Linked DNA regions of Arabidopsis thaliana. The protein of the gene in region 1 interacts with the protein of each later gene in a pairwise test. Each region holds a gene or a part of one and is shown on either strand. Other genes may lie near its edges.

Region 1 (3,708 bases):
CAGCACAAGTTATTGATCCAAATCCAGAAAAGTTTGGAAGTTTGTGCTTGAAGGTTAGTTTATCATTCGATGTCAGTTTTAATGTGTTTGTGATTTATCTACTAAGTTTTCCGTGAGGTGCAAGGAGAAAACTTTCACATATTTTCGTCTTCACTGGCTAGATATAAGTACATAACGATTAGCTTCAGCATCACCAAACATGTTATTCTACCCACAGAAGTACTGATTTTAATTCAAGGTAGTTAGATAATGAAATAGGGATTTAGGGAAATAGGCTATGATGTTTAAGGTGATAGACGTACTAATGTTTTTGGCATTGCTCATGAAAGTACCCAATCATAAACATGAGAAACCGCGTTTATTTCCTTAATCCCCAGATATCTGAAACGTCAAGAGTTTGTATCTTGTTAGTGAAACCCTCAAAAATCCTCTAGAGATTTACAGATTATATAACATGTTGAAACTGGGATGAGAGTGGAGTAAAATCAGAAGTTGGTTGCTAGCTCAGTTTCCTAAATAATTGCTGGAACGGTGCAACTGCAATTGGTATCACACAGGTAAAGAGAAATCACCAGTTTGTATGATTCTTCACATGTTCTGCTATTAATGGCCAACATTCACTTTGGATCAAGGATAAAAATATTGTAATATTTTCGTATTAAATTAGAGGATTGTGCTTAAAATTCATAATCATTTACTTTTGCTTTTTTCAGTTTTTTCTTTTTACTGTTGCAGGTACAAACTACAAAGGGAGATAAGCTTCAGTTTCTTAACCAGACTTACGGTTCTCTCTCAACCTACAGACACATTTATCTTTGATTCCAAGGTAAATGAGATAATAAGATTAAGGCATTTGATATGATGAAACGTGGAGATTAGAGCAGTAGTATTAAGGTTTCGACATGACACGCTGCGCAGGCCCCCAAGAGTAGATATCAGAAGCCGAGTTTCCATTAGTGAGCAGATTTTGAGGCAGTCCATGAATGTCATCTAAAGGACGGGATCTTCCATTCTGGTAGTACTGCTGGTTCTGCATAGAGGCAGCTTCATCATCATCCATAGGAAGACGATCAAAAACAGCATTCATGAAAGATGCAGCCATGAGAACAACAGGACCAGATGCGATTAGCCCACCAACCACTCCTCCACCAACAACCTGTCCTTGAGGTCCGGCTAAGTAAATGGTCAGACCAGTTATTCCAAGTGGTGCTGGTGGAGGCAAGATTGATCCAAGCAATGAGAGGATCTCGTAACGTCCGTGTAATGTGACAATTGCTCCTGATGAAGCTGGTTGCCTTAATGTCACATTGGTGACACAACCATTGGCACTGAGAATGCAGAGACCTCTCTGTTTCCTTCTTGCAAAATCCGATAAAGTCTCACAGATGTCACAACCTGAGCTGATCTCAACGGCGTTAGCTCTGAGGGAATTTGGACTGTCGTGAGTCACAATGATTGGTGGTTTGGGTTTGTTCTTGGAGCCAGCGGGTCTGCCACGTGGCCTCTTAGCCATCTCTCCTTCGATTGATGAAACCGGTTGGACGGCTTTGGGTAATGCTCTCAGGTTGTTGTTGGTGTTGCCTCTCTCTGTTGCTTCATGGTTCCTCATTGGAACAGACTTGGATCCTACAGAGGTTGGAGTTAGAGCTGTACCTCCAGCCATTGTTATGAATGTTGTTATATGTTCAACTGAAAGATTCAGAAAATTTGTGAGGAGTTTGTGAGTTTAAGTAAGGAGATTTTGGTGAATTATTAAATGGTAGAGACACCAAAAGAATGATTGTGAGGAGTAGGAGATGGTTAAGTTGTCACCAAAAATTGTGATTAATAGTTAACAAATTTATTTTGCAAAAAAAGAAAAAAAAGAAAAGTTTCTGGCAGCCTACTTCTCAACAGATGATTAAGTATTTGATTCATGACAATTGTCTTCTTTAACAGAGAGATTCATAATAATGCTTAAACATCTTGTAGCTATTTACAACCAAATTTATACCCTTTTTGGGACCAAAACTAAAATCAAATACTGATCGAGAGTTGAGAAACAACAAAAAATGAGAGTCGTCCACTGCTCTGTATTTTATCGCCTTCCATACTCGACTCTTATTGGGCTTTTAAATTGGTCCTACAGAGAAGGTCCAATAAGGCCCAAAATATGTAAATGTACACGTGTGGTTGGTTCTTAGCCTTGACTTGTCGTCCTCGACCTGTGCCACATTCATCTCTCTCTCTCAGTCAAATTGTTGTTTTCTTTCTTCGAATCGGTGCAGAAAATTCAGGGAAGTTCTGGGGAAGGTTGTTGCGTTTGACTCCTTTGGCTTAGTTTTCTTTCGAATTCCGTGCTTCCTGATGATCTTACGTGAAATTGCAGCCTAAAATTTCGAGATTGTTTTTTTTACTCAGAAAACGAGATTTGACTGATATGAATCGAAAATCTGTGATTTAAAGTGAAGCATGAATGCGAATCACAAGAACGGGAATCCAGGTTACCATAATCTCTGGACCAATGGACTTATCTGTGCTTTCGAGTTTTGTCAAGGTCGTCGTAAGAATAACACAAGTGTCCATGGAGATTCGTCTCTCAGAATGTATGATGATTGTTACTAACTTGTTGATACATATTAGTGCTTAGTCTCTTTTTTTCTTTTTCTTGTAGAGTGTTTTTTTAAACAGTGTTGTTGTTGTTGTGATAGAAAGAAACAGGAATGTGAAACAGATCAATTTGGTACTGGTGAAGACGAAGAACATTCTAGGAGTTATTGGCGAGGAATTGGATGGGATAGGATCTCTGAGCTTGTTCAGACTGTTCAAGTTGATAATAATTGGGATTTGCGAAAGATTGACTTAGATGAGGATGAAGCCACTGTTGCTGAGCTTGCTGCTCCTTACTGGGAACGACCACTTGCTGGTCCAACTTGGTGGTGTCATCTTGATGCTACCCATCATGGTATTGCCTCGTGGTTACGTAATGCGCATTGGTTACATCCCGCGGTCAGTCTTGCTCTGCGGGACGAAAGCAAACTGATTAGTGAACGAATGAAACATATTTTCTATGAGGTAACAAAAATCTGAGTTATGTTGCTTCTTTGTAATGTGAGCTGTGCTATGATTCTATAGCTGAAATTTGTTAATATGTTGGTGGATAGGTGCCTGTCAGAGTTGCTGGTGGGTTGCTGTTTGAGCTGTTGGGACAATCAGCGGGTGATCCTTTCATCCAAGAAGATGACATACCTATTGTCTTAAGGTCTTGGCAAGCACAGAATTTTCTGGTGACTGCATTGCACGTTAAAGGCTTTGCCTTGAACATTAGTGTCTTAGGTATTACTGAAGTCCAGGTTTGTTCTTCTTATTTGAATCATTGTTTTCCTTTACTCGTTGATCAATTAGTCAAAACTGGTTTTCAGTCTTCTGGGGTTCCTTCTGTCTTACCAGGAAATGCTTATTGCTGGTGGAGCCTGCATTCCGAGAACCGTTCATGAACTAATAGCACATCTTGCATGCCGCCTTGCACGCTGGGATGATAGGTATTTCCCTTCCCTTGAATCTAGATTAAGTTGTGAAAAAAGTTGTATATATTGGGGAAGTTTAGTATTCATTATGAAAGTCTTTAGCAGTGGATACACATTTACATGGTCTATACGGTGTAGCCAATGAAATTGTTAAACCTTTGTATTGCTTTGATAGAACCTATTTGTCTTATCTTATTCTTAG
Region 2 (4,835 bases), on another chromosome or scaffold:
TTACTCTCTAATCCGCGTCTATTTGGTTTTCAGATTGTTGAACCGTTCACGGCTCATTATGTTTTTGCACTTGGAGTAGCAAGGTTCCTCAGCTGTGCCCACTGGGTTTTACAGGTTAGTTTTGATCTTCAAGAGTGGATAGAGGTTATACCAATAGTGGTGATTCCTATACTCGATTGGATTAGTACCTTAAAAGTCGATTTTGAATAGCTGAATACATTGTCTAATGTGCTGAAAATAGGTTGTGGACACGCGGGGACGGTTGCTTGTAGCATTGGGTTATGGATTGTGGCCATCAATGGTTCTGATCTCAGAAATTGTTCAAACTTTCATCTTGGCAGATTTCTGTTACTACTACGTCAAAAGGTACGCATTAGTCCTTCACTTCAACAGTTTAGCTATTTAGCTCTTTGTATATATCTCAAAAGTTTCAACATTTTTCTTTACAGCGTTTTCGGAGGCCAGCTTGTTCTCCGGCTACCGTCTGGAGTAGTATAAGTTCAAAAGATAGAAATACCCCAACGATGTCCTGCGATGAGCTTGACGGAAATTCTAATTGGGAAAGATAGCTCAATTTTTCTTTACCTCTGATTTCATCGTTTATGTGTCTTGAGGTTTCACCAAGTGTCTCGGTTACGAATTAATTTTACAGTGTTGTATATTTTGCCTATCAAGGGATTTAACGTCTTTCAGGTCGATAAGTTATCTTTGAAATTGTTTCTTTACCAAAATTTAAGCAACACTAGGGAGAGAACGTCTTATAACTTGAAATTTATTAACGAGAAATATGATCACTGGAAATCAGTGAAACTGCAACAAGCACGTTGAACGCATTTTAAAAAATCACTCTCCATAAAAAAGGAAGAGAACAGAAGTTAAAGGTCCGAAAGGTTTCTCCCATTGATGAAGTTGATCACTTTAGTAGCAGTTCCCTCTAATGCAGCGGTCACAACTGTCAAGTTCTGCAAGAACTCTTCTGCTGTAGGTTTATCTCCGTCCACTAGATCGGTCACGGCTTTGAGGAACACGACTGGTATTTTCAGAAGATCAGCCACATACGCCACGGCAGCACCCTGAAGAATCCAGAGCCAAAAGAGTTTCAAAACAACAGTTTCATTGATTTTCTGGTTAGATTCAGTAATAAGAATTGTTAACATTACACTACCTCCATGTCCTTTAGCGTAGCATCATTGGCAATGATCAATGTTTCATCTTGCGTGGACATATCCAACGAGTCACCAGTAGATAACCTGCCAATCTGAACCACCCCAATTTTGTCAAAATTGAAATAGTTAAAAGAGTAAGTAGCATCTTGAGTCTATTAAATACCTTCAAATTGAGTTCCTTGAGGAGATTGGGTGTCGAGAATGCCTGACGGAGACCAACTCCATACAGATCAAACATCTAGAGAGATAAACAAACATTGCTCAGGAACTTGCAAGATGAACTGGCAAAAAGGGAATCATCACTAAAGATGGAAAAAAGAAAGAAAGGAAGATGAACCTACCGGAATTGGTATTCTTCTATCATGAAACACAACATCAGATACAAGGAATACATCGCCTATGTTGGCTCCTTTGACCTGCAAATGTTCAGCCAATCAGCACTTTCATTACATGAAAATAAACCAACTTTCACAACATAAAAATAGAGATATGGAGAGAGAGAGAGATCTTTTATGATGCAACTCAAATCTCAGAGTTGAGTAAACGAGCAGTAACAAAATCAAACCCAAACCACAAGTAAAGAAAGAAGAGAGGACGTGGTTCTTAGCAAGGATGCTGGAAGTCAAGACAGAGCACACGAGAAGTAAAAGAACTGTACCTTGAAGCCACCGCAGGTTCCGGCATTGATTATGATGTCAGGTTTTAATGCTTGGATGGAAGCAAAAGTTATGAGAGAAGCTGGAACAGTTCCAACACTATCGATCCCTGGAGAGAAATCTCAGTTAGTAGCATAAAAAAAGTGCATTCATTTTCCCTCATACCAAACAATGCAGCGACTTGAGAAACCAAAGCTACTATACTAAAATGCTGAGAGATTCACAGGCTAATTATCATATCTTTGAGAGCATTGAGTGCAAAGCTTACCTAAAGCTGCATCTCTTCCGGGGCAAACTACATTGATTCGAAGATCTTTATGCACGCCGTGATACAGAACCCAGGGCAATCCTTTACCAAGCCTGCAAAAAAGTAAACTTTGAAGTGAGAGATTCATGGAGATCAAATCCAAACAAGCAAAATCGAAAAAAGGAGAGCTCTTAACGGCGAATCAGTAGTTTCAGAGAGTCCGAACTTGTTGACCAAAGGAAGAGCCTCCGCTTGCATAGCTGCAGCTCCGTCAGAAACACACAAAAAGTAAGTAAGAAGACGAAGAAGAAATCGATCGAATCGGAAACTTCATAAATCATAAAGTACCGATGACGAAGACGACTGAGGAGATCGGTCGAAGAATCTCCGATTGAGCATCGACCTCAGGTTCTTCGATGTCACTTAATCCATCTCCATGAGGAGCCATAACCTTATCCCTCTCTTCCGATTCTCGGCGATGCGTTTGATTCCCAGGAAAAATCCGAGAATCGGAAAGAAACGGCTGGAAACTCCGGCGAATGAGAGATACAGTTTATTCGTTTTTGGACCTTTTGGTCCTCTTTTGTGTTTCCACTTACCAATAATAATATAATAAAAACAAATTATTTTTTTGTGCTAATGACCGTAATTAATTAAATTTAGCTAAGTTTTTGTACTAATCTGGTCTCCTTGTAGTTTTAGCCAAGCTCTTGTAATCAAATTTTCAAATTCTTCAATTAACTTCAGAATATTTATTTCACACTTTTAAAGATAACTCAAATGTTTCATCATAGCCATTCAAGCATCATAAACGTAAACAAATTTTAACGAAATTAAAAAACAGAGTAAACATTGCATCCCATGGTCATTAGAAAAAAAAAAAAAAAGGCATGAGTAGAATCACCACACCAACAAGAGGAAACCCCAAACTTTCAATTTTATACATCTGAAAGTAAAGACGGTTTTCCTCATTAATCTAAAACTTTTGGGGGTAAACACTCAAAAGTCAAAACCATATAACATTTGTTGCTGCTAGTGCTGCTTATTCCCTTCTATGATTAGTTTGAAGGCTCCTCTGTATCAGTCGAAGTTGACGGCAGAAAGGTAGCCGAGGTGAGCGGCTCGTGAACCACCGAGTTAGAGGAAACCGATATGGGACTACCCTCGAGCTGCAACATTATACTCCCCAATATCTCTGCCATTGTTTTCTTAAACTCTTCTTCCTTCACCACATTTCCATCATCTCCATTCACCATCTTCAACGCTTCCATTATCATATTATCCATCTTATAAACAAAAACAAACTTAACTAATCAATGCCGTTCAAAAAATAAAAATAAAAATTCACTAATAATTTTTGATTAAAACACTAATTCTGGTTTCATTTGTTTAACAAATAATTGTAACATGTAAATTCAAAGGCAAAATAAACAATTTAAAAGACAAAATAATTTAGACGGGGCATTATTTACCTGGGACACAGCGCCTATTGGTGGTAAAGTGGCCGATGGTGCAACAGTGTCAAGCACAGCTCGTAGATATCCTTTAGACACCTTACCCTGACGGTCTTTTGGAATCGTCTCCATGGCAACGTTTAGTGCCTGCGACCAAACCGTTCCGGATCATCATCACTCGTTACCATCATTTAAAAAGTTTTCCTTTAGCATAAAAGCTAGATAACATATATATGTATGGTAGTTTACCTTATCGAATTCGAATTTATTGGACAAGAGCCTCCTGATACCGCTCCCATCAAAGGTGTTTTCGCTGTGAGCAACGATCACGGGCTGTTCATTGAGACGCTGAGCCACACTCTCCACGACTCTCTTGAATGCTTCCAAGAATCTCTCCTGAGACGCGCTTTTCTCTCTTTTATCTTCTTCATCAAGACAAGAGTCAACAATTGGTTCTACGATGTTGCTCATCACCTGTTACAAGGACTTTGCTTTTTAGGCAAAACTCAGTTGTCTCTAGCAACATATATAACATCAAATACGAACTTGGATACATATTACGTATCATATGTACTCCCACCATGTAAGTATCGTTCTGATATTTTGTACAACAAAAAAAAAACACCCGAAAAGTATTTTTACGGTTTTGGTAAAAATACAAAAACAAACGGTTCTTAATATTATATGCTTTATTTTATCAATCATATAAATTTAGATTTGAAGTTAAATTAGGAAAATCCATAGCTTAACAGAAATATATAAAAATAAAATAAATAGGTACCCATGGGTCGTTGGAAGGAGGCATTCCATGATCAACAGAAAGAGACTGGAGAGCTTTGACGATACAATCACGGAGCGATGCGTCCTTGCTACTGGAGAGCTCTGAGAAAACAGAAATGCTCTCGATTTCATATCCAGGGCCGTGGACAAACTCCGAGAGATCCTCACCGTCCATCCTGAGGATGACGATAGGATCACGTTTCAGACCAGCAGCCATACCCAACAAAATGTCCGACAACACTTCTTTGAACTCTGTCTTGCTCACTTTCTCTTGACTCCCATGAGTGAATTCGTTTAGGACCTGTATATAGTTTATTATAACGTTACAAACGATGAAAAATAAATGTACGGATAAGACAGCTAGAGGGTTATTGGTTTAATCTCGTTGTCTCTTCTTTAAATACACCAAAAGCTAAACCTAACGATAAGTAATTGGATACTGATTTGTATCCACTAAGAGAGAGATTCGTATTCAGATTTACTACTTCTTCTTGGATATCTTTGCAGCTAATAACTACAAATCTACAATCAA

What was found.
Region 2: the proteins of AT2G42940 (region 1) and MTN1 interact in a two-hybrid assay, tested with the Arabidopsis thaliana proteins (one large-scale study listed by BioGRID).

Annotation. Positions count from the first base shown.
Region 1 is NC_003071.7:17,861,608-17,865,315, forward strand, and holds AT2G42940 (Putative AT-hook DNA-binding family protein), read right to left. Parts: upstream 1,850-3,708; 5' UTR 1,664-1,849; coding exon 890-1,663; 3' UTR 647-889; downstream 1-646. Other genes in the region: AT2G42950 (Magnesium transporter CorA-like family protein), read left to right, coding at 2,452-2,585, 2,691-3,054, 3,144-3,332, 3,430-3,521. UniProt on the Arabidopsis thaliana protein: Transcription factor that specifically binds AT-rich DNA sequences related to the nuclear matrix attachment regions (MARs).
Region 2 is NC_003075.7:18,112,480-18,117,314, forward strand, and holds MTN1 (methylthioadenosine nucleosidase 1), read right to left. Parts: upstream 2,698-4,835; 5' UTR 2,518-2,697; coding exon 2,418-2,517; intron 2,330-2,417; coding exon 2,266-2,329; intron 2,183-2,265; coding exon 2,091-2,182; intron 1,932-2,090; coding exon 1,825-1,931; intron 1,583-1,824; coding exon 1,508-1,582; intron 1,405-1,507; coding exon 1,330-1,404; intron 1,259-1,329; coding exon 1,166-1,258; intron 1,074-1,165; coding exon 876-1,073; 3' UTR 682-875; downstream 1-681. Other genes in the region: AT4G38790 (ER lumen protein retaining receptor family protein), read left to right, coding at 34-114, 242-366, 450-498; AT4G38810 (Calcium-binding EF-hand family protein), read right to left, coding at 3,128-3,355, 3,542-3,670, 3,773-3,997, 4,305-4,604. UniProt on the Arabidopsis thaliana protein: Enzyme of the methionine cycle that catalyzes the irreversible cleavage of the glycosidic bond in 5'-methylthioadenosine (MTA) to adenine and 5'-methylthioribose.